Schizosaccharomyces pombe: one gene and its partners. The protein of the gene in region 1 purifies or fractionates together with the protein of each later gene. This does not show direct contact. Each region holds a gene or a part of one and is shown in the gene's direction. Other genes may lie near its edges. The genes, in order: tti2, rvb2, tel1 and asa1.

Region 1 (8,276 bases):
CAAACTCTCATTTTATTAGATTAAGGTCGAATTACATATCAGCGAAACCTTTAGATACTGACAGATATGATACGTCTTCTATACAGTCATTAAAAAATGCACCTAGAGATTCGATGGAAAGCGAAAGCTTTTGTTCATCTAGTGATGATGCCAAACCGATAACATTTGTGACTAAAAATTTAAGAAAATTTCCAATTCCAGAATGGAGATCATCATTAGAAGTTCAGGCCGAATCCGAACAATCGTGTTTGCCTCTTTATCCTTTACTGCCTGTAGAAGAAGTGGAAGGGATGAAAAAGTTTGTTCAAACAATGTTGTATGATAGTATATATCCTTTTATGCAAAGATGCGTACGGGCCTGGGAAGAAGATCTGACCCCTCAATACGGTAATTTAACTACCAGGCTTCTATTTGCCTCCAAAAAATACTGGTCTCGTAATCATTCAAGCCATTCTCAAGGTAACTATGATCCACTATCCCTTATTTATTCTTCAGAAAAGCAGGAAAGCATAAAAAGAAAAATGGCGGATTTTTCTTTTATGCTTCGTGATTACAAACGTGCTTATGAAATTTATGATGAGATTCGGAATACATTTTCTCAAGACAAAGCCTGGAATTATTTAGCGTCTTGCGAGGAAATCCAAATAATATGTCTGTTAATGCAAAATCGGAATATCAGCTTGAAGTCGCAAATTTCGTATTTGAACAAATGGTTCGACGAAATGGTTTATATCTATGCTGTTCGTCTTCACTCTTTTTACTATACATTTAGAAGTGTGCTAGTTACAAGCTTGTTGCTCTCGTTGAAGCCTGCGTTTAGTATCGACTTTGCAGCATCCTGGCTTGCAAAGATATTGGAACCAGGCCCTATTTCCCTCAATCCGTTTGAAACTTCTTTCTTAAATACGACAATAGCTGGAATGTATAGTAATAAGGAACATGTTGGTGTTACTGATGGAAATCGCCGCAGAAAAGCTGCTTTTTGGTTTGCATATAGCGCTGGCTTTTGGCGGGACTGTGGCCATTGTAAAATGGCAGAGATTTGCTGGAATCTTGCTAATCGTGTGTATTCAAAATCAGGATGGGAATCGCTTTCTGAACATATGCTGGACTTAAAACCAACGCTTTCCGAAAACTTTCGGGTGAAAAATACTTTTCATTAGACAACTCATCCTGTCATCTGGGCAATCTTTGGTACAAGATCTGCTTATGTAGGTGCTAAACTTTCGATTTTGGTTATGAGCTTATTAATTCAAGCGCGATTAATGCGAAGTTGAAAAATTATATTACCGCTTACAGTATCATATTTATATTCAATTAGCTAGTTAATGACTTTAGAAATTAAAACTTCATTTTTTTTTTGTTCACGTTTTTTGAAATGTTGCTTTAGAATTTAGACTGATGTCAATAATTATTTTAAAATAAAAAGTATATATAAAAAATAACTGTGAAATTCAAAGAGTAGAGGTGTAAGCTATAATTTTGAAAGATTTGAAAAAGGAATAGGAGCTGGCATAAAGGAGCTTAGGATTTCCAATTTAAAATGTAGCATTAGCATTATAATTTATTATATCAAAATTATAATTTAGTATCATACTCAATATAACATATATTAGATATATGCGATTTTACATTAGTCAACTTCATACGAAATTGCTGATGTTATTATAACTTGTCTATCTTATCAGTTTTAGAATAAATTGTTCATTGTCTGAATTTTTGAAAACAAATCATCAGCACCTTATTAGAACTCCAAATTTAGCAATTTGTAACATTACAAAAGTACAAGTGACAAGTCACCTCATACCATTAATTCTGTTTGAAAACTGTATATAGTAAACCACGCAGGTAGCTTCAGGAATATACGACAGAATGGGAAAAAAGGAGAAAGTCAATGCTTTGGAATTTTCTGTTAATAAAGGAATTTTTACAAAAACTCGTTTAAAAAGCCTGTATTCTGACTTTACGAGTCTGTTTATAAAAAATCCTGAAGGATTTTTGGCAAACGTAAATACTTGGAGAGAAGCAATTGAAACATCCGCATGGTCTGGGAAGTTGAATTCTAGGATAATCTTAGTTTTCGATGAGACTTTTGAAAGTGCGTTTTCAAGTCCTGCTTTAGGTAGACCTTTGAGCCTTGGTGCTGTTGCGGTACGTGAATTAAGCATTTTTTTTGAAGCTAATAAGCATATAGGCTTACTGGATCCAGCAAGGGGTTTGGCTTCGTAAGCAAGACTTTTTGAACGATTGTAAAAAAGGAAATTTAGTAAGAGAAGACGGTTTTTCTATTTTTTCAATTCTACGGTGGAGTTTTCAGAAACTTGGGTTTCAAAATCAAGCCTCATCCATATTGTCAAATAGATCCCCGAGTGGGCAGTATGTAATTCGAAAAAATATTGAGAAACTTGCTTGCCTTGTACACAATGAAGCAATGCGACGGTGCAGCAGCTATACGAGTGCAATTTATACTTGGGACTTTTTTCAAGATACTTTTGGAAGCTTATACTGGGAAGAAGGAAAATTAAACAAGGATGAGATGGAATGCCTTCTTAATTGGATGTGCTATCAAAAACATGTTTTAATATTTGATTCTAAGGTAAGTTCAGATTATATGTTTTCTCAGCTATTTGTCGATACCGTTTTTTTAACGAGAATAGATAATCAAGTTTTTACCCAACAGCCAAATTGATGCTCAATTAGCTTCAATTGATAAGTCTATTGATGGGTCTGTTGCAGATCTGATACAGGCTAGGGCATCCATCGCCCAAAGATCAGAATTTTTAAACGAGGAATTGGAGCAACTTTCACAAGTGCTAAACCAAGCAGTTAAAAAGGGAGAGAAAACAATAGCAATAACTTATTTACGTCGAAAAAAGATTTTGTCTAAAGATTTGGAAAGGAAAGTTTCTTCGCGTCTGCAATTAGATACTATAATTTCTAATATTGATAATGCGGTTGACAACAAAATTTTGCTTATTGCAATGTCTTCTGGCTCTGAAGCTCTAGACGCAATTTTAGCTCAAATGGGTGGAACTGAAAAAGTGGAAGATGTCTTAGAAAACGTAAATGATACACTGGCTCGTTCGGAAGAGATTGATGCAACTATTCAAACTTACAATCCTCAAAACATTGATTTAGAGGATGAAGCCGTTGAAAAAGAATGGCAGGATTTGGTAGCTGAAGAACAGAAGGTTGAAGATATCGTGTCTACATTAGGCAATGTTTCTCTAAAAACACCATCTGATACTTTTACCCTTACTAATACTGACTCGGATAAAAAGACTTCGAAACCGGAGAAGATTCAAGCTGAGCTGGTTGAGCAATAATTTATATACGTCCTTTTTTAACGATCACTTAAATTCACGGGAAATGGTTTGGTTTACTAATAATTTATGCACATACTAAAGAATAAATGAATACTATAAAAACATTTTTCTTGGTAATAACTATAAAAAACAATAATGCTTATATACTCAATAGAACTTATATAGCTAAAGCGATAAGGTAAAGTACCTGTGTAATGAATTGATGTTAGTTACTAAAAATTTTGCTTTTTATACCTTTAAAAACTAGTAAATTGTTAATTTATTAAATTGATTTCTTGGCAACGACTTAGAAACTTACAGTATATCACATACTCTATAAGTTTATATTATTAGTGTATGACCATAGCTTAACATGAAATACTTTTTTCATAGAATTTAAGTTCTCTAATAACTAAGTGACATTACAATTCTGTTAATATTCTTTGTTTACAAATCAAACAAATAATAAAACATTAGACTTAATAATTATCTAATAGAAGTTTAAATTGGCAATATCTATGCAATATTACAAAGAGCTAGCTAGGCGATTGCATACTCTACAATCAAAAAATGAAAAAGAAGCTCTTGAAAAAGTACCGTTTTTAATTCACTATTTTCAAATTTTAACCAAATATAGCAAATAGACTTTTTGGACAAATTGGTGGTAGAGGTGGACTCGTTGGTTCATGAACAAGATTTGAGGCCATTATTAGAGTTCATTAGCCCTACTGAAAGTTGGTTTTTACTGGGTACGGCGACAATTTTTTATATTAAATTATTAACTCATCCAGACCCTGAATCGATTGATGTAGTGATTAAAGAAGCGTATGTTGTGCGCGCTCACCGGATATTAAGCATTTTTCAAGAACAGTTTATAGAAAATGTTGTTAAAGAGATCAATTGGGAAATCCTAGCTATTTTAATATCATTAAGTGGAATCGAGAATGGACTTGTACGCAATTTGTCAGAATTCCTCTCAACTTCAATCCTCAGCGCTGTTCCTAGACAAAAATTCTTATTATATCTTCTAGAAAAGTATCAAATAAATCTTTTTCATAGAGAAGAACGGTTGACAGATCAAGGTAGACCGGTTGCATTTGAATTACCACCAGACAAATTTCACAGTGATCAAAGTAAAGCACTTCTTGAGCCAAAGTGGAAAACAAAAAATTATCTCATTTCTCACCTTATTTTTTGGATAATTGATCAGCAAAGTTCTTCTAGCATTGAAGTATGTTGGCACAGAATCATTCCATCTGTACTCCGAATATTGAATGATTTATCTCCAAACATTAAACTACAAGGAATTGAGCTAGTCAACAGATTGTTAAAAATTACGGAAAGAGAATTTCTTTTATATACTGGAATTCTAAAAATTTTGAAGGACGATTTGCTCGTATTCTATACTTTCATACCGCCAAGATTTACAATTCAAACGAGTGTTACCCTTATAAATGCCTCCTTCGCAACCCTAGTTTCTCTTTATCCTGAAGAAAATGAAAATTTAAATTCTATTATGCTGAACGGTATTAATTCTGTGTTTCAGTTTGCATTCGATTATCCCCTGATTCTTCAAGCCGCATTTTCTCAAATTATGGTTTTAACTGACAAAATGAATGTTAGTTATTTACCATACCTAACGGTAATAATTTAAATTCGTTACATTTGAAAGTTTACTAATCGCACTTAGTTGACTCTGGATGAACTGTGTCGTATAATACAAAACCCACAAATCATACAGATACCATCGACACTCTCCTTTTTTTTAGAAATATTAACAAAACTATTGGAAATTTACAGTTATCGAATATCTGCACACCATGTTGAGTTATTAATGGCACTAGTGGTTTGCAGTAGAAATTATATGCGATGTAACTTACAAGAGCATCACAATGCAATTGTACAAGCGCTTCAAAACCTCTTCACTTTGATAAAATTGAACATAACTGTTGAGCAACTCGGTGATTACAATGTAATATTGCCACTGCTTGAACCCCTGCAAATCCCACTTTGAGGTACATATAAGGAAAGACTCTCCTCATTACTAACCAACCTTCAACCTAGATAAATTGGTAACAATGGTTATTCGAAAAACGATGGAAAATGGAGAATAAAGGAAATATGGAGCTGTCAAATTCTTATGGTTTTTATAAAAATGGTCGTAGGGTTTCATTCGTAAAAGCCACTAGTGAACAATCGTTGGACGAAGCCACTTTTATTGAAAAAGGATCGGCACAAGCATTTTATCATTCGTTATTTGAAAATGATAGGGATAATTCGCATACTATGAACAGCAAGAGGGACGAAGCTGGTTTTGCTTGTGAAGTGTGTCAAATATACATTCCAAATAGCAAAAAAATTAATCATTTTAAATCAATGACTCACCTTCTTTCTTCACAACATATTTCAAACAAATTTCAACCCCATTTATTAAAACCAAAAAGCCTTGGTTATCGAGTTCTTTCTCAGTATGGTTGGTCTCCCCAAGGAGATACTGCTGGATTGGGTTTGGAAAATCAGGGTCGTCGTGCCCCGGTTAGAGCATTTCGTGTAAAAAATGATACGATTGGACTCGGTACCAAGATTGATTTGGAGAAAGTTGCAGTAAATAAATGTCGCAAAGGCAAGCGTCAGTGCCAAATCCAACACTCAAAGGATGTACGCCTTAAAGAAGCTTTAATTAAACATTTTTCGTCTAATTGAGTTTATCCTTCTTGCATATGTCCAAACGTCATTAACAATTTTAAGTGTGCTAAATTTGTCCCATTGAATGTACATATTTTATAGTGTTTAGTCGATTGGTTATAAATCTATAGTGTTCAGTTAAAACACAATTGGATGTTTTTTTTTCATGAGGTTTTGTTGTGGAAACACATTAATTAAGGATAGCATCACCCTCTTTTCTTATGAAATATTTTTTCTTTTAGTCTTTGTAACATGGAGGGCTGCCTGTTTTGAAATTTTGATTGTTGAGGTACAAACCGCCGAGTAAGCAAATTAAATATACCCCCAAATGTAAGCGCTATAACTGTTGAAGTAAATATGATTACGTTATACGGCATACTAAAATCTGGTGTAGGAATGAACATTAGAAGCGCAGCAGTTCGTAGGCTACAAAGCTTGGTATTGTTTTCATCAAACACGCTGATTATTGCTGGAGGAAGATTGTAACCACGATTTGCATCGGGAGGATATTCGTCTAGGCGTAAGGGTGTTTTTTCTACATTAAAATGAACAATCAGATTTGTATGTGGAGGTATTGAAAACTGGATTTCCATCATCGTGCCTGCCTTGCGATCTCTTAACGGTTGATAATACAATTTTTCAATAAAATCTTTAGTATTAATACGTGTTCCATTCAAAGTGATAGTTAAAGTATGTAAGTACACGCGCACGAACCAAGGAAATTTTTCAAAATAAACAATAGTTCGAGGAGAAGATGAGGGATTGTAAATTGTAGAAGACAAACTTCCCCAATGGTTGCCATCGTTCGAAAGGGAACGATCAACAGTGACTGTATGATTATCGGAAGTAGATTGAATAGGGATTTGAATATTTGCAGCTTCGTCTAAACTAAAAGTGTCAATTTTATCGCCATTTGAAACAAAAACGTCAGAAAAAGTTGAGGAAAGTAGACATCTTTCCTTAGGCACTTTATGAAAAAGATCATCCACGGTATGATGTTCGGTTGAATAACCAGACATTAGACAATGCAGAGAATCCATATCCTCATCATGGCAATATTCAGAAGGAGGTTGAAAAGTTGTTTTGCCCTTTCTCCTTCCGTTCCTTTCTACATCTACCACCGCTTGAATTATAATGCCCATCTTGACTGAAGCAAGAGACTGATTTTCTGAAGGATAAACATCTATGGAAAAGGAGTGCCAATCCGTATCAAAAAACAAATGGCTATCCAATAGACTGGCAATTCCTGCTTTTCTCTTACAAGGGAGAAGCTTGAAAAGCGGAGATAAGTTTTCAGTACAGACATCTTCTTGAGGGAGCGAAGCAAAATATTGAGTGTTATTGGAAAACGAAAAGGAGCCTGGATATGAAAGTTGTGGTTGATAAGTGTTGGAACTATCAATATAATTTAGTGAAGCACAAAGTAAGCCAGAAAGTTGGTTAGTCAATTTCAACCAATACTTCATGCTGGGATCATTCGCCATGAAAGCCCAAACTTCAAAACCCAATCCACCCGAATAAAAACCATTGTCGGGAGACTCTTTCCAATTTTCATAGTCCCATCGACCACGGGTTGCTCGAATATGTAGCTCTGAAACCTGACATTCGTCCATTACTCGGGCTATAGATAAAGGAAACAAAGAGAAGCTTGATTCGGAGAATACTGAAGAATGTGTACTGTCAGTTGATGCACCGATTTCAAATGCGAATGAAACATATGAGTAGCGACTTGAAAAGCTCTTTATGAATAGAGATTCATCATAAGTCTCGTCTATAGTTGCTGCCGTTAATGAAAAGGAAAGCAAGCTGTAAGCAAATAATAATAAACATCCGTTTTTTTTCATATCTAACAAAGAAACCTGACAATTTAAAAGTATTTGAGTATAATAAATGAAAATTAGAAAACTAATGCGATACGATGTATTGTGACCAAATGAGAACCTAACAATTGATTTTCTTTCGAATAGAAGGATCTTTTAAGAGAAATAGGAAACAGTTAATGGACAAACTGATCTCGATGTGAATTTAAGTAGTACTTTTCGAAGTTATTCGTGAATCAGATTTAACTTTCATGAGTACAATCACAGTACCAGATAAAAGTTATTGCAGCGTTCACTTAATAAAAAAAATGCAAGAATGGTAATTAAACAAAAAGCCAGTACACAATTGTCGAATGAAATAGAATATCTCAGTAGGTTATGGGATGTTAAAGGCGAATTCCAAAAAGAACTTGCTTTTTCAAATTCACTGATTTAAGACTTTATAACAAAAAGATCTTTTTTATAA
Region 2 (5,336 bases), 2.4 Mb from region 1:
GATGAACTGCTTATAACCTTTCCAGGCACACATCATAGTGCATTTTGTCTAGGAGACGCTGTTTTACGACGTTTTGTCTTTCGTTCACCAAGATCTGCTTCCAACTATGAATTTTCTAATTTACGAAGACTTATGGTTTCAGAATCCCTTTATTCCTCTAAATCTTTATGGCCACATTCGCATAAGCCTCAACGTGCTTGTTCTCAAAAGTTCCTGGATGAGTTTTACTTGCATGATTTACCCGAATCCAACATCCATGATAGTGGTAACTTTCATCCGATTCATTCAAGTGTTGATAATAATTCATTTTCTCAACGAGATTTTGACTCACCTAACTCTATTAATCCTCCATCTCCTTTAATGTCTAATCATGAGAGTGCATCTACTGAACACTTTAATTCTACTACAACTACCGAAAAGGAATTATCTTCCCTTCACGTGGGTGAAGAGCGCAAAAACCGATCGCTTCCTTTGTCACTGATTTGGAATTCTAAGGCACGTGAAGAGTATATAAAAAAACAGAAAGAAGAAAACGGTGATAACATAGAGTTTTCTCATTTTGATCCTTTATATACTCGTCCATCATCACATCCTTTGCATCCGCCTCCTATTTTAGGGCTTCCTGTTCCTGCACAGTTCGCTCGTGGAGAATTGTTTTTGGGGAGGATTCTCGAAGACAGGGTTAGTGAGCATATGTTGCTCCTCGAATGTGAAAAATCGGATGTAGTTGAGGTACCATATGAATGTATATTAACATCTTCTTCTGCTGCTGGTCGGCGGGAGAGTTCATATTATAATCCAGCCCTTAAAGCTCCTAATATCGTTTATGATGACGGTGTTCCTATTAACTGGAATGAATATTCAGAATTACCTTCACTTGATCGCTTCGTTTTACCCAAGTTGTTACCAGGAAAACCCATAGAATTCACTCCACCAATTTCAGTTGAACCAACCTCGATAAAGACTATTGCTGCTGAAGAATCTTCTGAACCGACTTCATCTGTTGACGTGGCACCAACTCCGGTAGAAGACGTCAACGTGAATTTAGAGTCGATCAGCAATACTAACGAATCTGTTGTTGACTTATCTGATCCTCTTGTAAGTAAAAATGGATTTGAAGATGTTGAACGGAGCTCGGTAGCAGATTTGGAAGAAGACGTTCTTGAAACTCGCTCCAGCATTTTTGAGACTTCTGACATTGACGATCGTTTAACAGTGATTGATCGTTCACAATCAGTTGTGCCTTCAGAATCTGAATTTTCTATTGCTGGCGCAAACCTTACTCGTCGAAACGCAGTGGATTTCTCAGTTTCACTAGATACGTATGAGCTTTATGTGAGTGATGAAGTCGAAAATGTCGATGATTTTTCTCTCTTTCCTTCCTTAGAATAAGGATATAAGAATTTGCATGTAAATGCATTTTTGCTGCATTATTGTATTTATGATTTAGTCGTTCGTTTTAAAAGTTTTTTGAATAATATTAAAAATTTACAATGTTTCAATCATATCGGTGACTAAATTAATTTTCAGCTTCGACATTGATTAGTGTAGCCATTAACCATGATAAAATACGCGCTACCTTTTTTAGTAACGCAGAATACTTGTATGACAAATGTGATTGTTTTTTGTAAAGAAGTTATTAAAGATACATTTAAGAACCAGTTTTAGTCAAAAATATTAATTATTTATCCTCAGTTTCTTACATAAGGAAAGTTAGCGATGGTTCATATGCTCTCAACCGCAACGCAAGGTAATGATTGCTATGTGAGAATGACTGTGCAGTCTTGAATAAAAAACCAAACACAACATAATCATGTCGATTTCGGTGACTTCTCATAATGATGTCTCCAAATTAGAAAGAAGTATGTTTTTAAAATAGAAATAGACCTCTAGCATATTTTGAAATTGGGGGGACTCAAATGCTTTAAAATTGAGTGAGTTAACTAATCTTTACTGTTTTTAGTCGGAGCACACTCCCATATTAAGGGAATAGGTCTCAATGATAATTTAGAGCCGAAGGAGTCAAGCCAAGGAATGGTAGGGCAAGTCAAGGCTCGCAGGGCTGCCGGTGTAATTCTCAAAATGATACAAGAAGGCAGGATAGCTGGAAGAGCCATATTGATGGCTGGACCCCCTTCAACTGGTAAAACTGCTATTGCAATGGGAATGGCTCAATCTTTAGGTAGTGACACACCATTTGTAACACTTTCTGCAAGTGAAGTGTACTCTTTGGAAATGTCGAAAACAGAAGCCCTGTTGCAAGCCTTGCGAAAAAGCATAGGTGTCCGTATTAAGGAGGAGACAGAAATTATTGAAGGAGAGGTTGTGGAAGTTCAAATTGATCGGTCTATTACTGGCGGTAATAAGCAAGGCAAGCTTACAATTCGCAGTACCGACATGGAAACGGTTTATGATTTAGGAACAAAGATGATTGATTCCCTCACAAAAGAAAAGGTTTTAGCTGGTGATGTTATTAGTATTGATAAGTCAGTGGGAAGAGTTACTAAGCTCGGTCGTTCATTCTCGAGGGCAAGGGATTATGATGCTATGGGAGCTGACACTCGGTTTGTTCAATGTCCTCAAGGAGAAATTCAAAAACGAAAGGAGGTAGTCCATACCGTCTCCTTACATGACATTGATGTTATTAATTCACGTACACAAGGATTCTTAGCTTTGTTCTCAGGTGATACTGGTGAGATTAAACCAGAAGTACGTGAACAAATTAACACCAAAGTTAGTGAGTGGAGAGAAGAAGGAAAAGCCGAAATAGTCCCTGGTGTACTTTTCGTTGATGAAGTTCATATGCTAGATATTGAGTGCTTTTCTTTTTTCAATCGCGCATTGGAAGATGACCTAGCTCCTATCGTTATTATGGCTTCTAATCGAGGAATTACTCGTATTCGAGGTACAAATTATCGTTCCCCTCATGGCATTCCAGTTGATTTGTTAGATCGTATGCTGATTATTTCTACATTGCCCTATTCCCATGAAGAGGTAAAAGAAATCTTGAAGATTCGCTGTCAAGAAGAAGATGTTGATATGGAGCCTTCAGCTTTAGATTACCTTTCCACTATTGGTCAGGAGACTAGTCTTCGCTACGCATTACTTCTTATATCTTCATCTAATCAGGTTGCTTTGAAGCGCAAAAGTGCTACGATTGAGGAGTCCGATATCCGACGTGTTTACGAATTATTTTTGGATCAAAAAAGAAGTGTTGAATATTTAGAGGAATACGGAAAGAATTACATAACCGAAAATGAGTGGTCGGCTTCAGGTGCACAAGATAATGCAGTTGCAATGCAGGAAGATTAAAAGCACTAAAGACGAATATTTTGTTATAGTTAAGAATATGAAAGTATTAAATAGCAAGTCTTTATAAAGGTTGCAAGACAAGTTTAATTTAGACTTATTTATCGAATTATAGTTTTCCGTTAATTCAAAGGTACAAGCTATAAGTTCTGTTATATAATGAAATAAAATAGTTTATTATCCACTTTGACTATTTCTTTAAAGAAACTACATCGCAAAAGCAGATATTGTTAGGATACATCCATTCATCCATATTTGCTAATTGTATAAATGCTGCATGCTTGGCATCCGTAAAATAACCTTCATTACTCCAAGCCTGTATTTGGCTTGCGGTATAAGGGCCGTACGTCTTATCGTCAAATTCCCACTTAAAGTTGTACTGTGAAGAATTTGAGTCGTCGTAACTAACAGGAGAAGACCATGAATTTGACGTGAGTTTTTGATAAATTCTTTGAAGAGATTCTCTAGTTTCCGAGTATATATCTTCCTTTCCAATTTTATCCTCTAGAAAAGTTAGACCAGCAGTTATAAGTTCTATTAATTTTTTCCGAAAAGCGTCAGCACTTTTCCTTTCAGGAGAAATGCCCTCTGCGGTATTATTTTTCTTTTTCTTATACGATTTTTTGTTACCACTTTGTCTCTGCAAAAATTCTAAAATACTTTCATCTCTCTCCATTCTTGCGATAAAAAACGATAACGCTTCAGGAACCGTGGAAAAAGGCAGTTTACTAAATTCTTCCAATTCTTGATTCCTTCTTCTGTTTTCCATTTCCTTACGCTTCTGCTCCGCTTCTCTGGCTGCTGCAATGCTTTTTTTATTAGAAACACTGCCATTGAGCCATGCATCATACTGAGACTCTGGGTCATAATTTTTTCGTATGAAATTACCATTTTCGTCAAAATCACCCTCCTCCATATCTTCTTTTAAGTTAAAGGACATTCGTTTTGGGCTTGAGGGAACTGATATCTCACTGCCTTCTTCATCCGCGTCGAGGTCGTTAGCCTGATTTGTATCTTCTTGGCCTTCTATATCTTCATATCTTAACTTTGAATACTTTCCGTTATCGTCCTCATCATCAGAATCGTCGTTCAAAACCTCTTTATTTCGCAAACCTTTATGTGCTAATCTTTCAGCATCGCCATTTTCAATGAAATCACGTCGCTTTTGCGCTTCATCATTTGGCAGAGTACGCTTCTCATCTTCCGAAGTATCAGAAAACATATCTTCCGATTGCCCTTCCTTCTTCTCTTTATTCAGAATTTGGTCTTCATCTTCTTCAGATTCAGATTCATAATATCCTGTGAATTGAATGTTAGACAGAAATCAACAAATGAATTTGCATACCCTCTTCTTTTGTCCTAGGACGTTTTCTCCCTACATTGCTTACATCGTATTCAAAAAAAACATCGTGAACATCACCCACTGTACTCGAATTGCCAGGGTTTCTGAGCGTACGCTTCATTGTTCACACAAAATGTAGTTGCAATTGCGAACTCGTTATGAGTGCAAGATTATTAAGTGTTAAATCTGAAACAATAGAAAAAATAAAATGATTATACAAAAATAAATATTACCAAAAAATAATGCACGACGAATAATAATCTCATCCTCATGCTATAGTATTTTTTTTACATGCAGTTATAAAATTACGTAGCTGAAAACATCTCTGTTAAAGAACGTTTAGCAAAATAAAGAGATGAAGCATTATCTACTGACAACGAATAAGTGATTGTGCGTTATACCAGTAGTATATTGATTATTGATTCTTTCTTCAAAATAAAAAACTACTGAAAATTAATCCTGTATGTACAAAACAAACGTGAAATTTTACAATTTCAAAATCATATAATAATATCGCCGTACGTAAGAACGGTATCATCCTGAGAGTGACATTGCATGTGAAACTTGGTATAGATTCGCTGTATAACAGTAAAATAAGACATCAAGCTCTCATTCAATTCAAAAAATTCTATTATGGAGTGACCTTTTTCCATTTAATTTGCATTTTATCTTTAAGATATCTGCA
Region 3 (9,046 bases), on another chromosome or scaffold:
CCGATTAACTAATTTCCTGTTCCTTTAGATATGGAGGTATACCAGAAACTCGTTCTATTCAGTCATAAGTATAACTCACTTTTTTTTGAATAAGAAACATTTTATGGATCATACAACACAGATTTCTCTTTCATTTCTCATGCACAGTACAAATAAACATGGAAGAATAAACGCGCAGAATCTTGCTTCCTTCTTTTGGTTTTTGCATATTTTATTGCATTTCTAAACTCAAGCTTTTCTTTTATAATGATTCTTCCTTTTGGCTAATACAAATATGAATTTTACTATCGTTTATTTCACTTTTTTTGATTCTTGTTTGAGTATTTTTATATAACGTTCTCCTTTTTTCGCACTATCTTATTTAGTGTATCCTTGAGATGCTCATCGCGGACGATTCGGCTCCGAAGACGGTACATACCGGTGTTTCTTACGTTTGCTCATCCTTCAGTCACCCTGCCATTGTAACAATCCAACTACCATATATATACAAAGCGAGCAACGCAAGTATATCTAGTGGTACTACGCTGAATATCGCTTATTCCTAAAGAAAATTGGTTGTTTTGAGAATTATTATATTACTTTTTCCTTTACAAACTTTTTTGCTAAAACTGTTGTTTAGCAGTTATTGAGATTGTTAGAGAAATAACGTTAGAAAACGTGCATATGCAGAAGTTGGATTGTTTCGGAATTGCTCCGATTGAAATACTCTAAATATATCTGACATTTGTTCTTTGCATTTCTGTCTGCGCCTTATCTTTAGAGATCAGACACGTTTCTTTGAATATAATCTAACTTGCTTGCATGTTAAATTGGTCGAAACAGAGATAAAAGATATCCTGGAATTCATGGTAAACCATCGAGATCTCTTACTAAAAATAGAGAAAAAAGAAAAGAGTTAAGTATTTCGAACCCTATAGTAATTTAAGTCTTGGGAAAATACCTTTTTTCATTTAATTCCATTATTTCTAATTTCCTTTGATATTTCTTCTTTTACGGTGAAAAGAATACCCTTTGCAATCTAAACTGTTAATAGTTTATTCAAAACCAACATTCGTTAATTTTATCGATACAAAACCACGATGAAAGATTCGGAACATCACCATCATGGCCACAACGGCTTTAGTAAGTTTCTCCATAAACTTGGTTTTGGCAAGTCAAAAGGAAAATCGCATAAAAGCAATACCAGCAGTATTCATGAAAGAGAAAATACTGCTGCCAAAGGACCCGCCTCTAATGTGCGTCCTGCTCGCCCTAATGTTAGCACATCTTCCACTTCGAACGAGGTCAGAAAATCTGTACCTGTTGGTAATCCTACTGTACATACCAAAACAGGGTCTTCTTCATCTCCTGCCTCAAAGATGAGAAATACAGTCAACTTGCAGCATATTCAAGCAGCTAACCAAAAAACTCGTAATGCTGAAGGTGAAAGAAAGGTCGCTCAACGCAGGGTCCAATCTGATAAAGCTGAAGCTAATGATGCAGCCATGAGTAGTTCAGCTCCAACGGTAGATGTTTCCGAAGGTAATTCTGCCGCTGAACCAAAAATTACACCCGATGATTCAGATACACCCAGACTTAATGTAGATATGAATGATAAAATAAATGTCGATGAAGCTGCTGCTAAATCTGATAGCAAACTTAATGTCGATCAGATTAATTCTACTACGGAATCTGAAAAAAGAGTTGAGAAAGTTAATCCAAATATTGCGAATAATCCGCTAAAATCACCGGATGCAGTAGCATATAGCAGTGAGACGGTTTCTGATGAAAAACAACCTACTGAGCATCCTGTATCTGCTAATGTCCCTGCAAAATCTGAAAAAGCTGTTTGTGATGAAAATACCAAAATTTCGCTTACAAACACAGAGCATTACAAGTTTCATTCACTTCGCGGAGACGTTGAAGTTGTTGTTGGTGATTTGGAACGTGACGGAAGAGATACCTCTTTAGGCGATGCTTCGGTAAATGAAGCCGCTAAAGAAACTGACGTCGACTCTAGTCGTTTTATTTCAGATGAAAAAGCCGTGACTGAGGATGCGATGAAAACTGAACATGCCTCCAATGCCCCTCTCACTGATGAAAGGCATTTTCAGTTCCATTCTTCTGAAGGAGACATTGAAGGAATCGTTGGGACAATGCAGCGCCAAAGACAATCTGTCTCTTCGTATGACACTATCGTTCCTAGCCAATTCTATAAACAGAAGGTGGTGCAAAATAGCCCCCCAAGCTTGTTGAGCACTGATAACAAAATTCCAGAATCCGGCTCAGATCATCCCTCAAGTCAAGATAATTCCAGTAAAGCATCCTTGGTAGAAAACTCTCAGACACAATCATCTACTCCGAGAAAGCCGTTGCCAACTACCACTAGTCCTAAAGTAAATCCGGAACCGCATAGCGAAAGTATATCTGACACACGACCTTCTACTCCTAGAAAAGTGCCACCAAGTACAGTTCCTAAAATGAACCCGAAGCTCCAGGGTGGCAATAGCGTTACAGCCCCTTCCACCCCTAGTAAAGTGTTGCCAGCGATGAGTCCCAAGGTGGCTCCCAAATTCCAAGGTGGACGCAGCAGTACAGCGCCCTCTACTCCTAATAAGGTATTACCAGCAGCATCTGCTAAAGCTGCTCCAAAGCTTCAAGAAAAAGCTGCATCATTTGACATTCCTAATAAATCTACTATTATCTCTACTAAGTCAACGGTAGCATCGCCAATTAAAGCAAATGAGAACAGTCCTGCCTTGAAGTCTAAAGCATCTTTTGAGTTCCCTAAGGAATTAGATCCTGATGGTACTTGGAATGCACCAATTCCTTATCCTGATGCAAATTGTCCTATGGCTCCCACTTATCGGAATTTGACTTCTGAACAAGAAGAAATGTATGAAGAAGTACTTAAATATTGTTTGGAATTAAAAGAGATTCCTGTAGCGTCTAATTCTAGCAAGAAAACGGATTTGATTGAGTTGGAGCGTCTTTGGCTAACACGCGAATGCATCCTTAGATATTTGCGTGCTACTAAATGGCACGTTTCCAATGCAAAAAAGCGTATTGTTGATACTTTGGTATGGCGTCGTCACTTCGGTGTTAATAATATGGATCCTGATGAAATCCAAGAGGAGAATGCAACTGGTAAGCAAGTATTGCTAGGTTACGACAAGGACGGTCGTCCCTGTTTATACCTATATCCAGCTAGGCAAAACACTAAAACCTCACCACTGCAGATTCGGCATCTGGTTTTTTCATTGGAGTGTGCTATTGATCTTATGCCTCCAGGAGTAGAGACATTGGCTTTGTTGATTAATTTCAAGTCTTCGTCCAATCGTTCAAATCCCAGCGTTGGTCAAGGTAAAGAGGTACTGAATATTTTGCAAACTCATTATTGTGAGCGTCTTGGAAGAGCACTTGTTATTAATATTCCTTGGGCTGTATGGGGTTTTTTTAAATTGATATCTCCATTTATTGACCCTATTACACGAGAGAAGTTAAAGTTCAATGAACCGTTGGATCGTTATGTCCCTAAGGATCAATTAGATTCGAATTTTGGTGGATCTCTTCATTTTGAATATCATCATGAGAAGTACTGGCCCCAGTTGGTGGAATTGTGCAAGTCACGTCGTCTTGGCATCTTGGAAAAATGGAGGAAGATGGGATCTAAAATAGGTACAAGCGAATGGGATTTGAAGGGTGGAGAGGAATATGTTGAATTAATGCAACAGTATGTACGTCCTTCATTGACAAATCGTTCATCTTCTCCAACTGTTACTCCAACTGTAAATACTGATAGACAGCCAAAGACTTTAACCAATAGTGCTGATGAGCTCTCTCCTCAAAAAAGACGAGTTGAGAATCCTAAGCCCGTTGTCAAAGATGAGGGGCCTGTTTCTATCGTTGAAGATGAGGAATCGACGCCTGTTGTTACAAAAAAGGAGGACTCTATTCCTGTTGCTCAATCCACCAAAGCTGATGCTGGGCTCGATGCCGAGAATGATCTTCTTCCCAAATCTGGTTCCGGTGTTTCAGAAACACCAGCTTTTTCGCATGCACGAGATGTTTCTACGGCTTCATTTAGCGACGCTGTTTCGTTTATCACCGCGGATAGCATAGAATAGTTTTTCTTAAGCTCTCGAAACCTCTTCACTCTTTTCTCTTATACTTTATTCGCAATTGAGCTAGTTCTATGATTTCTTTTTTTACAGCCTTGAAAACTTTTAATAGAGGGCTTTTGAATAATTCGGTGCTGAAAAAAGAAAATCCACTATTACTGTACATATTTAGCTAACAGTAGAGTCATTGATATTTCCAAAGAAGATCATTTGTTTTAATTCCTTTTTTCTTATATAGTTGATAGTTTCGTGCTTTTTAGTTTCAATAAGAAGAATTACCACACTTCAATTTATAACTTGGCATCTGTAAAATTCGTACACGCTAAATGAACCTTCCAAATTCCAAAAGTTGGAGACGCGTAACCTTTTACTCAATTATCAGTTTACGCCAAATATGTTAATATATTAATGAAGAAAAGATAACTTTTACTCGATGTAATACTATGACTTCTCTAAATGACATCGTTAATAAGTTGTCTTCATCAAAAATCAAAACACGATCAGATGCTCTACAAAATCTTCGCAGCTACATAATTTACTCCAGAAATGGAAATTCGCTAAATCAGGAAGATGCTTTAATAATCGAAAAGGCCATAAAGCGAGCATTCGAACTTGAATGGCAAATTTCTGCTAATCATGGTAAACGTCAAATTTCCAAAGCTTCCCAAGAGCAGAAGCTTCAAGATATTAGCTATTTGTTAAGAACATGTGTTGAATCTTATATTTTATTATTTAGGGAGCCTCATATTTTAGCGCTTCTAGATATAATTCTAAGACATACTTTCACAGCTAATGGTTCTATATGTGAGGTAGTCTGTTTGAATTTTTCTAAGGCTCTTCGGCTACTATTATCCCATTCTCCTCATTTGCATCATCTTCGTTTCTCGGATTGGCAATCACTAGTTTCCTATTGTTGTCAAGCTATTGAAAAACTAAGTATAGCTGAAGAAACTTATGTTAGTGATAGTGAAGAAGAGCCAATAAGCCAAAAAAACTATCAAGAAATATCTATCTGGAAATCGCACGATGTTATAAGAGTAAAGCAAGAAGTCGTTGAGCTCATTTACGTTATGCGTTCTCTTGTTCAATGGTATGCGGCTCCAATTAATTTTGTTAGTGAGCAACTGCTGAAATTTTTTGAGTTCTTTTTTTATGCTTACACGGAAGAAACAGATGCGCATCTACCAGCTTTGCAGTGTTTGTTTCAGTTATGTGCATATGCGATCCCCAATTGTAATGATTATTCCGCAAGCGTTGTTTTATTAGTCTTTAAGATTCTTATAAACTCTGATAAATGGAAGCGTCTGGATTTAAGATTGCAGCTTATACAATGCTTAGCCATTTCTTATCCACTTTGGTCCAATTCAGAAACATGGGATCCCCATCGTTCCATTAGATCTTTTAATTTAGATCTTCTTAACTCTTCGTTTTTTTCTTTAAAAAATTTCTTAAATTTTTTTGGAAAACGCTCCTCATTATCGCTTGCGAATTTTAGATTCCATACAGTTGAGCCTAAGAACAACATTGCAAAACTTTACGATCCACGGCTACACCTTTTTTTTTCTCTTAGACATAATTCTTTCTTTGAATCTTACTTTATTTATTTTTTTCTTGCAAAACTAATTCTCCTCAAAAAAACCGTGTTGTCCTTAGCAAGCACGGAGCAAGCCAACAAAAAGCAGAAAACATGTTCTCAAATAGAGGAACTGCTTTTGCAAGCTGAGCTAGCCAATATCTCGGCTTCCTCTTTTTCATTGCAACTCATGGTAATTATCACTGCTATTTCTGACAATCTAACAAACGATGATCTATTGTCAATTCAAAAAATGAGTCTTAACTTTACTGAGAAAAAAAATGAACTTCAAAGCTGGTCTTTTTTTATATTGTTCAACATTTGTTACAACAAAGCTTACTCTTCGATGCTTACGACTTCATGTAAAAAGGAAATTTTGGCTGCTGCTTCTCGTGGTCTCCTGAATTCTGTTACGTCTCCTGTATGCTATCAAATTTTAACTTATTTTAACATGTATCGGCCTTTGTGCTTCGCGAGCATTTTTCCTTTCATAAAGCAACAGTTTATTTTATTTAATGATTACTCGCCAATGCTTTCATATGAAGCCATTGATTACTGGAAATCTCTGTACATATTACTTAATGAAAACCTATTTGTTGGTCAAAGCTCTTTTAAATCTGTGTTTCTAAAATGGTTGAAGTGGCATCTATATCATTTGTTCAGCAAAGAGGGTGAACTACCATTTTTCTCATTTACCGATTCTTCTATTATCATTTTTGATTTGTTAATGATGATCTTCTATAGACCGTTGTCATTATCTTATATCACCACAGAAATACGATCACCTTTCGAACGTAATTTGTTTCACCTCAAAGAAGCATGGTCGCCTGTTACGCTTCGTTTTCCTTATACTACTGACGAAATATGTAAACAGTCTACAGAAGGATGCTATCCTTTCAATAGTAACCATACTATTGACTGTGATAGTTTGCAAAATGTCATTAAAATGTTGGAGAGCTCGATAGACGAAATTAGCTCAGCATCTTATGACAAAGATGAGCTTGACAAGGAAACCCCAAGCTTCGAAGCAGTTATGATATTTTCTCAGATATCATTTTTATGTGGCTTTCTAAATTGTTTTATCCAGAAAAAAGGTATTCATAATGTTACTCCTAACAATCTTGTCATTTTTAAAAATTTATTCCCTGAAGTCCTTTCTTTCGTTAAGTCTAATCACAGTTATGACCCAATAATAAATTGCATCTCTACTAATTTGCAGTTTACTATTTCTGATGAGCCAAAACATCTTCGGTATGAAATTGGAAGCGACTTAATTCGTTCAACTCATTTTCGAGACAGTAATCCGCTCAAAACCTTGGTTCTTTATATAATGGATATGGCTTCTAAAAACGTATTCATAAAGCCTCAAGAATTTGATCACGATGAGTATTTCTCCCAGGAGGAAGAAGATATTTATCGGCCAGAAAATTTAATCAGGAATCATCAAATACTTGGTTTGATGGAAGGATCGCTTGAGCAAATACGGAATACTGATCTTTTTATTTTACAAAAATATATCGACTACTTTTCTAGTCATCCTCATGACAGCTTAATTAATATTCTTCATTTGTATCCCATTGAAACTTTTTGTTTTGGTATGTCTGCAATTGGTGCATATTTCCTAGATGTTGCGCGGACATCCGAACCTATTTTCTACAAATGTCTTGAAATACTGGCTCAAAAAATTTTAATGAATTATGATTATGAAAGAGACGAAGTCTATCTAATGATTTTTATTAAAATATTTCAAAAATGTGTTCATTCTAAACTTCAGTTCACGGACGCAACTTTGAAACTTATTGTGAAGATTACAAAATTCATTGAAAAGGTTTTTATTGAGACTAAATTTTCATCATTATCTGGTAGACAAACTTTTTTAAAATTTATATTTCAGTTATCCCCTACATCTCACGTTTATTCAAAATTCGATTATCAAAAATTGATTTCTTTAACTCTTAAAGACTCTGATGTTTGTGTTATTTATAACTTTGTTGACGATTTGGTGATTTTTCTTAAAAAATGTGATAAAACGTTAATTGAAGGTTTTGTTCTCCCAATTTTAAGCATTAAAATTGAGAAGTCATTGTATAAAGGCTTCTGCTATTTATATTTGACTTTAAAGGTTTTTTTGTCAATAAGTTCCAATCGATCAGCATTGTTGTATCAGCTGCTTAAGCTTGCAAACAGCTATGAAACGTCAACTATTTTTGAACCTTTGCTTCGTAAGCTTCACATTCAGAGTGCAAATATTAAGCAACTGTTTCGAATATACAGGTTAGAGATATTTTGGTCATTCGTCAGCAAAGATCTTTCTAATACAACCAATGACTTTCTAGAATTCCCCTACAAACCAATTTATTTCAGCCTTTCCGATTTTTTAAAAGAAAACAGCGACGAAATTATACTTGTTCTTATTCTGACTAAGAATATAACCTTGGCTAAACTCATTACTTCACGCATGTCTGTTGATTTTTCTGAAAAGTATACGCAATTGATCCCTGTTATAACAACTTATACTCATCTAAGTGAAGTAGAGAATAAAAAGTATTCGTTGAGATTTAATTCTATTGATGAAGCACTTGATGTGGAATTACTCAACCGCTCCAAAGCTTTTTTGTTCTGCTTAGAGATGCTTAAAGAGGTTAAAGAATTAGGCTCTACTTTTAAATCTATAAGCTCAACTTCGTTTAAGGTGTACTCACAATTAACAATTTTTGCCAATCGCGTCTCTTTTAACAATAGCACAGCGATACCATTCTTTTCTACAAAATCTGTGTTATGGTATTGCAATAGACTCTTCCAAGAATTAGAGGGCTTCTCCTCTATCCCTTCAGTCATTGATTTAGTTTTAAGGAGACTTGCAATACAACTACACTTTGCGACGGATGAAGAACTTCAAGTTACTATTTCTTTTAGATTGTGTGCTTTTCTATGTTTCTCTGATCCTTTTATCACTTCAAACTATTTGGTAATGATAGTACTTAGGATAGCTAGACAATTACTCTCAATACCTTGTACCCAATCACTAGGATTAGGAATTGCGCGCTTTCATTTGAAAAAATTCAAACCTACTGATTTTGATTATTTCTTTCAACTAGCCGAATTCTGTATGGACTTTTTGGGTTTTTGCTACAACACTATTGGTACGAAGATGGAGGCTATCCAAGATTTTTATACTTGGTTTGATGGTTACGTTACTGCTTTACTAAATTTTGAGTATGAAGGTTATGGATTTTTACGCTGTCAAATAAACTTTGTACGTTCAGTGATGACAACCAAAAATGAATGGATAGAGGTTTCAAATAAACTGTTCGAAAGAGGTCACTTTCTTAAGAGAATCGCAATGAATAATTATCTTTGTCTCTACTTTTGG
Region 4 (8,125 bases), on another chromosome or scaffold:
CAATGCACACAATTTGATACATGCTCTTTCTTTACTAAAGTATTTCAATCATATTAATTTAAACAGATCACGCACTTGTAAATAATCCTCCTAACACACATAGAGAAAACAATCCTTCCAGGTCGACAGATAATTCTTCCCCTTTCTTGATAAAACTGCTAATATCATTCACACCAATCTATGTACTGAATGTACTTGCAATTTGTTATCTAAAGTATAAGAACGCTTTCTTTAAAAATTATGGTGCAGCGGAATGGACATTATTTGGATTTTGGTGTCTTGTTTGCACTTTGGCTTTAATATTCTTGACTTGTAAGTGAGACAATGGGTAATCTTACCTTCAGTCACTAACTCATTAGACTTCTATGAAACTTGAACCAAGGCTTGCGGAAAAGGAATCAAGCACTTTTTAGAAAAGTGGAGAAACATACCTATGGCTTTTAGTGAAGTCTTTTTATTTAACATACTTGTTGGATCACCACGAGTGGCTTTAAGACACATTTCTGGCGAGAGATGGGGATTGAAATGTTCTTTGGCTGATCACATTATCTTTGCTATATTGAGCATCCTTGTTTTTATTGTCGAAACAGGTTTGTTATTGAATAAACATTAATTTATATTAACAGTATAGTGGAACCTGGATCAAGCAAAATAAACATTATGGAAAGATTAAGAGGAGACAATGGTAAGGATGAAAAGAGACTATCTTCATTAAAAATTGTTTGCTAATCATCATTAGCTCGTGATGCCACACAGCACGTGAATGAATACACAGCTATTTCGTTACGTGAAATGAACCCTGAAAGTGAAGCCTAATTATATTGCTAACTTTACTAATTGTACGATAAAGGCGCTTTTTACATGAGGCTTCTTTTCTTTATAAGAATGTGCAATAAAGAAGCGCCTTTATGATTGTGATTTACTCAAACAAATCATAAATTTGTTTAGAGTATATCACAATGTACTTTTTATTGCATTATTTATTTCCTGACGAATTGAATGAGCAAGTGCATTGCTTGAAAGATTCTGCGATGTTGGATAACATACACTGGGTATTGAATATTAAAATAATGGTTTTATTTATTCGGAAAATAGCAGTTCACTAATTGACTGTTGTCGTCAACTAATGAAATCGGAAAACTCGCTGTTCCTCCTTGTTGTATTCACAACTTCATTGTCTTTGTTACATTCATTTCTCCTTCATCTTGATCCTTAATGAATCATACTTAATTGTCTTTTTTTACTTTTGTTTAATGGTTTACTTTAATACAAACAAAATTAATGTTTACAAAATAATGAACAGCATAATAAAATATTGTGATTGAAAACGATGGTTTGTTATCGTAATGATTATAGTGACTCATTACAATAGTGAGTATTTAATGTCGTAGTAATGTTAGCTACGCAGTTTGATATCTGTTTTAACGATATTTAGAATTCCGGTGAGTTTTTACTTGCGATCTACAATGTAGCGGTATGCAATATTTAACTAACAATGTATGTTTATTGTTATAAAAAGTCTATTAGTATTGGTCACCGATATAGCTAATAACTGAACTGAGGAACGAGATTCAGTGGTAGCTCTATTTGTAACCTTCTTGATAGCTGATATCAATGTTTATTCATGTATATAGAAGGGCAGTCTATCCGCATTTATCAGTAAACGGATCTTAAGTAATATCTTAACATAGGAAATGTAGTGATACGCAACGTAGTGTATCATAAGTGTGGTATTGCTGACAGTATCTGTGTTAACAATATTTTGGGCTGTGGAGAATTTGACTTGTATTTCGTTATATTGTAATATGTAGCTCCTGCAGGTAGCAAGTATTATAAGTATTCATATACTTAAGCTATAAATTAACTTATAAGATATCTTTAATTGGACTTCGTTCCTCGTGTTCAATTTAAGATCCTTTTAAAATCTTTTTCATAGAATCTACAATGTTTTCTAAATAAACCGATAGTCTTTTGATTTTATCAATAAGAGATTTTAGCTGGTAATTCCAACGTAAAGCGTATAGTGATATACAACGTAATGAATTGTAGCGTATCTTAGAATTGTTGGCATATGTACAATCGTACTTTGACAATATCAATCAATTGATCAATATTGTCTATCACCTTGAAAGCTAATAATGATATATGAAACCAATATATATGTATATATATATATAAACTCTTTCCTCGAGCTGGAACAGGAATCCCCTTGTTCCCTCCTACCTTTATTTCGTTTTCAACCTTCTAACCTCGTTATGGTAATATTCATTTTCTAAATGTACTGCCTAGTTTCTTTCATTTGTGAAGCGCTTATGAGCTCAATATCTTGAAATATATTTTTAAAATACAAAAAACGGAGTTCTTATTAGATCAACATTACAGCACTCATCGTGAATGGTATAGCTTCGGCAGCGTAATATGTTACTCGGGCTACTTCGTCAGCCTCCTTATCCTGTACTACATTAAGTAAACAGCTCACAACAACTTAACTTCTTCACAACACACTTGCTTTTTTTGAGTAATTTCAACTGATTTGCAATTGACATTTCCATTGTTTTGTTTTTCTTTGTTGCATTTTTTCTTTTGCAAAGCTTTATATTTGTATCCATTACTTGAAATCTTGTTGGTTTCTAAATTCCTTTCTTTTTTTCCGAATTCATTTTTTCAAAGACACTACGCGGTTGCTTGAAGCTGAAAGAGTTTGCTAATTGCTTATTTCAATCTGCTTTTTGAATTACTCTTGATTAAAGTACAAGTCTTCACTTTTTTTTTCGTGTGAGCGTGTGTGTAGAATTCTTCTTGTTCTCAATTTTTGTATCATGAGAGTTTCTTGGATTAGCGGTCTCTTATTAGTGGCGCACCTGGCTCCTTCCAGCGCCTTCAACCCTTTAAGGTTTTTCCTGGATGACACCTTTTCAAGCGGTGCTACTGAGGAACATTTTATGGGCCCCTCTGATGATGGTTTTGCGCTTCAGCAGCCCACCAATTATGATCCTTCTATGCCATTTCCTTTAGATGAATCGGCATCAGCCGCTGTGGATGCTGTGTCTAATAATTACATTGTCATGTTTAAACCTTCTGTTGACAAATCGAAGCTTGAGCAACATCATCGTTGGATTGAGCATTTACACGAGAAACGATCCTTAGATTTTAAGGATGTATCTACCTTTTTAATGAAGCATACCTTTGAAATTGGAGACGCTTTTCTTGGTTATGCTGGTCGTTTTTCTCCTTGGTTGGTGGCCGAGTTGCAAAAGCACCCCGACATTGCCCTTGTTGAACCTGACCGTGTTATGCATGTTATGACTGAACAAACTTTTGCACCTTGGGGTTTGGCTCGTGTATCTCATCGTAAAAAACTCGGTTTTTTTACCATGACTCGTTACCAATACAATGAGACTGCCGGTGAAGGTGTTACTGCATACGTTATCGATACTGGTATCAACATTGAGCACCAAGATTTTCAAGGCCGTGCCACTTGGGGTGCCACCATTCCCACTGGAGAAGGCGAAGTGGATGATCATGGTCATGGCACTCACGTTGCTGGTACCATTGCAGGAAAAACCTTTGGTGTATCTAAGAATGCCAAACTTGTTGCCGTTAAGGTAATGCGAGCCGATGGTACTGGTACCGTATCAGATATTATTAAAGGTATCGAGTTTGCCTTTAAGCAATCTAAGAAAGACAAGGAATCAATTGCAAGTGTCGTCAATATGTCCATCGGCGGTGATGCAAGTACTGCTCTTGATCTGGCTGTGAATGCCGCTATTGCCGGTGGACTTTTCTTTGCCGTTGCTGCTGGTAATGATGCAGAGGATGCTTGCGGTACCTCTCCAGCCAGAGTTTCCAATGCAATGACTGTTGGTGCTTCTACTTGGAACGATCAAATTGCTTCTTTTAGCAATATTGGATCTTGCGTTGATATCTTTGCTCCTGGTTCTTTAATTTTGTCTGATTGGATTGGATCTAACAGGGCTTCTATGATCCTTTCTGGTACTTCTATGGCTTCTCCTCATGTCGCCGGTTTGGCTGCTTATTTTATCTCTCTCGATCCTTCGCTGGCTAATCATCCTGTGGAGTTGAAGAAGTATATGCTGAAGTTTGCCCTAAAAGACTTATTAAATGGCATTCCTGAGGACACACCTAATGTCCTTGCCTTCAACAATTATGAGTAAACGCTAGTTATGTGTATGTAAATGTTAGCTTGATGACCTTGATTGTTTATTTTTTGATGCTCCGATACGAATGATCAATTAACCAAGTTGTTGAATATCTACTGTCATCAGACGAACAAGCTCAGAGTAATGACATTTGTTATGTTTAGCAATGAAATCATTTAAAACGATACCAATTTGTTCTTTTAGGACTGATTTTTTTTTGTAATGTCAGGTATAGTAGAATTTTATTTCATTTTCTTATCTACTACTTTTTGCACTATTGTTATCGTTCATTCGTACTAGTAGTAAATATGTAGTTTGACAAGTATGGTATATCACTTGGTAAAAAAAAATGCCTTCTGGATTCACCGTTATAATTTTGTCTTATACCGCTTATTAAAATTGATTCCCTTACCACCAACAATTCGTTTTACAGTTCAATTTGTATTGTTCCCCTATCCTCTCAGCTTGATGATTACAAATATTTGCTCAAAGTGGATGCTTTAATTTAAATTTTCATGGTAGTTCCTACTCCATTTTACGTTTTACGTGGTCATTCTAGCAGTGTCACTAGTGTACTTTTTGACGCTAATGAATACTTATATTCTGGTGATGAGGCAGGTTTTGTAATTTGTTGGTGTCTTACTAGTATGCGACCAAAATGCGCCTGGAGAGCTCATACAAAAACCATATTGGGCATGCAAATAGTCAAGGGAGGAGCCTTATGCACTCACGGTAGAGACTGTCGTCTCGTCACTTGGAAAATCGATTTTAATTGCATGACCGACAATTTTATGTCATTATCAAAACTAGCTGAACTTCAAAATTACGGTCCTGAAGCCTCTTCTGAAACTGAGAAGAGCAGCGCATTTATATCTATTCATTCCAATATCGTTGTTAATTCCCTAACCTTTTGCCCCTTCTCTTACTCTCCTCAATCTAAAATAGTAGTTTTATGCAATACATTGAACTTTGAAGAGCTTGATGTATATGATGATGAATCATTGTATCATCCTCAAACACACAAAGAGGATTGCGGAAAAAGACTACAGACGAGAATTCAGCCAGAAGAGTCTGTTGGTAAAACAGGATCAGTAATGTCAACCTCAGTAACCGTTACTGACGAGAAGTATGTACTATTAGCTGCCGGTTACGAAAGCGGTCATGTGGTTCAGTACATATGTTCATTAGAAAATGTAAAGACTGTTACCCTCGATTTTAAAGCTGTTTGGAAGATGGTTTACGCCTACAAAAGTCATTCTCAACCAGTTTTATCGGTAGAGTACGCTGGTTCCAAATTATTTTCAACGGGTGCTGATGACTGTATATGTCTGCATCCTACTCCTTCATCTATAGCTGATGATCTTGGTAGTCTGCCTCATCCTATATTTAGAAAGACAAAGCATTGTGGACAACAAAATATTCGTATACGAAGTGATAACAAGATATTAGCAACTGCAGGATGGGATGGTCGAGGTCGTGTTTACAGCTGCCAGACATTAGCTCCTTTAGCGGTTTTGAAATATCACTCCGATGGTATTAATAGTTTGGCCTTTCATCCAGGCAGCAACGTGATTGCGTTAGCTAGTAAAGACACCAGAATATCTCTCTGGAAGTTGTATTAGGGCAAAAGTTTAGGACATTACAGTTACGTTTAATCCATCATCATTTTCAAGAAATCATTTACTTTTGGTTTGCAGGATTCAATTCATTCTTATTACAATACGCGCATTTTTATCAATAACCATTGAAATGATTTTAAACGTATTACATATATTAAATATATTAAATATCAGACTAGTAAATGCTTAATCTTCCAGTATTTTGATATCGCCTCAAATAAGATGAGCGATTCATATGCAAGCATAGAAAGTACGAAAGACATAATTCTAACCTGAGCTATATTAAGTAGTGACATTAGTTTTATAACGGCAAAGAGCCATTGTTTATGTATAGTGATGTTTATAGTACAAGGACGTAATTTTGACGGTCAAAATTTTTACAGTTAGTTTGATGTTGCTTGGCAGTTTCAATCTAAATGGAAACCTTTGCAACAGGAATTGTCATTCTCTCCGACTTCCAAAGATTATGATATTCGACGATTCGAGTAGCAACATCGACGAAATCGGTGTTCTCATCGGTATTTTTCATGACTATATCTAAACCGGATTTATAAGACTCTTTCTCAATTTCATCATTTCCTTCGATGTACCTTGATAAATCTTGTATAATTTCATCATCTGTATAAAGGTTAGTCAAAAATCAACAGCACAAATACCATAACCCGTCATTTTAATGTCGCGAAAATGCGACGCCTCGCAATGGTCATCATTACAAACACCACCAGTGGTTTCGTATTTACAGAAAACTTTCATCGGCTCTATCTTATTGCTGTAGGTAAGCGACCGATATTTCAACGGTACTCGCTCAACAAATTGTTGATTAAATCGATAAGATTTAAAGCGGTAAAATGGAGAGATATAATCGACAAGCGGTACCTTATCCTCAAAATCTGTTTCCGTCGTCCCATTTGGCGCGTTTGACGTTTTGGAAGACAAAATCTGTGATGAGTTCTCATCTGCTTGGGCGGAAACCTCGGTTATTGAGTCCATACTTAAATCAGATTCTTTAGGTAAACATGCAACATTTCCTTTCCCTTGTTGTTCGAGTAACTGTTTTTTCCTAGTGTACAATTGTGTTAGAATCTCAGTTTTTGATTTCACCAAAGTTTGATATTTTGTTAGTTCTCCTTCCTCTTTTTCTATTAAGTTATTTAAAATGTCAATCTCGGATTTTTTAATCTGTGCGGGATGCTCTTCATGTACCACAGCAATTTGTTCCGTCTTTCTGAGCCAAGGTGCCTCTAATATCTGCTCAGTTGTATCAGAATTCGTAGTTGCAGCACTAGACGAGGCTCCTGACGAGCTAATAGAAGGTCCAGCCTCCACAAAATCGGCTTTGGAACTAAGATCAACGACTTTTTCAAAGGTATCCAAGTGTGTTTTAGATTTGTTGTCAACCGCAGCTACAGGGACAGATGGAAGTTTCATATCGGCGGCAGAAGTTGGCGATCTATACGGTTTTTTATTAGACTCAAGCCGTAAGATCAACTTTGTCATTCGCCGTATTTCCTCTTCTTTATTGCGAAGAAGCGCCAAGTAATCTGAACGAGACATAGTAAGACCATTTTCACTATTTGAGGGGGGCTTTTCTAAATTAGATTGTTCTATCTTCGAATTCGAAAAGTCATCTCCATCATCATCGGAATCAAATTCAATAACTACATTTGGAGTCGAGGAGCCAAAAGGCTTCGAAGAAGATAGCCAATCGTCCTGCTTCAAAAGTGGTAAAGATATAAGATTTTTTCTTTCAGGAAGGACGGTAGGTGTACCATTATCGCCAGGTAATATATGTGTGTCACTAAGATTACTGTCAATCTTACGAAGTTTAGCAGACCTAGCAGCTTTGTCTGCAGATAGTGTCAGACTTCCTTGGGAGCTAGCAGAAGAGGAATCCAGTCCGAGCTTTAAAAATAAAGTATGAACAACCGAAGGCTCGATGCCCTCAGCAATAAAATCGTTAAAGCGCACTCCTACTTCAAACAACTGACTCACAGCTTTCTCTGCTTCCTTTTGATTAGTAGTCTTGGAATAATTTGCATCAGAATTTTTAGATGTTGAAAGAAAAGGTGATTTTTCTGATTTTGCCTTTTCACTCTTTTGATAAGAAGTGTCGGATGATAAAGCCAATGGTCGGCTAGTAGCGGTATCTTTAAGAGCCCGGTTTTCTTTAAATGACTGGGAAGTATTAGAAGAATCCGATGTTTCAGAAGACTTCGCCTTATTTCGGTTGTTGAATGAATTCTCAGATGACCGTTTGCGCTTCGAAAAGGTTTTGTTTGAGGAGGCGGTTTGAGGAAAGAAAGGAACTGTATTTGGTCCAAACATCAAAGCTGGAGGAAGCATAAA

The links.
Region 2: the proteins of tti2 (region 1) and rvb2 purify together in Schizosaccharomyces pombe (affinity purification with mass spectrometry, with the first as the bait; one study listed by BioGRID). This does not show direct contact.
Region 3: the proteins of tti2 (region 1) and tel1 purify together in Schizosaccharomyces pombe (affinity purification with mass spectrometry, with the first as the bait; one study listed by BioGRID). This does not show direct contact.
Region 4: the proteins of tti2 (region 1) and asa1 purify together in Schizosaccharomyces pombe (affinity purification with mass spectrometry, with the first as the bait; one study listed by BioGRID). This does not show direct contact.

Annotation. Positions count from the first base shown.
Region 1 is NC_003423.3:3,896,224-3,904,499, forward strand, and holds tti2 (protein Tti2), read left to right. Parts: upstream 1-3,712; 5' UTR 3,713-3,823; coding exon 3,824-3,898; exon of another isoform or gene 3,899-3,942; coding exon 3,943-4,947; exon of another isoform or gene 4,948-4,995; coding exon 4,996-5,319; downstream 5,320-8,276. Other genes in the region: trs8501 (TRAPP complex subunit Trs85), read left to right, coding at 1-1,163; cmp7 (ESCRT III complex subunit), read left to right, coding at 1,873-2,151, 2,195-2,596, 2,658-3,326; SPOM_SPBC1604.16C (G-patch type RNA-binding protein), read left to right, coding at 5,409-6,008; gpi16 (pig-T family GPI synthesis protein), read right to left, coding at 6,197-7,834. UniProt on the Schizosaccharomyces pombe protein: Component of the tel2-tti1-tti2 (TTT) complex that stabilizes protein levels of the phosphatidylinositol 3-kinase-related protein kinase (PIKK) family proteins.
Region 2 is NC_003423.3:1,522,194-1,527,529, forward strand, and holds rvb2 (chaperone, AAA family ATPase Rvb2), read left to right. Parts: upstream 1-1,798; 5' UTR 1,799-1,813; coding exon 1,814-1,862; intron 1,863-1,963; coding exon 1,964-3,312; 3' UTR 3,313-3,499; downstream 3,500-5,336. Other genes in the region: Lid2 complex histone demethylase H3-K36 subunit Jmj3, read left to right, coding at 1-1,392; U5 snRNP complex subunit LIN1, read right to left, coding at 3,500-4,608, 4,655-4,772. UniProt on the Schizosaccharomyces pombe protein: DNA helicase which participates in several chromatin remodeling complexes, including the SWR1 and the INO80 complexes.
Region 3 is NC_003421.2:1,272,933-1,281,978, reverse strand, and holds the start of tel1 (ATM checkpoint kinase), read left to right. Parts: upstream 1-4,437; 5' UTR 4,438-4,543; coding exon 4,544-9,046. Other genes in the region: DNA replication factor A subunit Ssb3, read left to right, coding at 29-93; pdr16 (sec14 family protein), read left to right, coding at 1,080-4,106. UniProt on the Schizosaccharomyces pombe protein: Serine/threonine protein kinase which activates checkpoint signaling upon genotoxic stresses such as ionizing radiation (IR), ultraviolet light (UV), or DNA replication stalling, thereby acting as a DNA damage sensor.
Region 4 is NC_003424.3:5,065,021-5,073,145, forward strand, and holds asa1 (ASTRA-associated protein 1 Asa1), read left to right. Parts: upstream 1-4,571; 5' UTR 4,572-4,675; coding exon 4,676-5,782; 3' UTR 5,783-5,978; downstream 5,979-8,125. Other genes in the region: serine protease Psp3, read left to right, coding at 2,820-4,175; protein Red1, read right to left, coding at 6,192-6,397, 6,442-8,125. UniProt on the Schizosaccharomyces pombe protein: Component of the ASTRA complex probably involved in chromatin remodeling.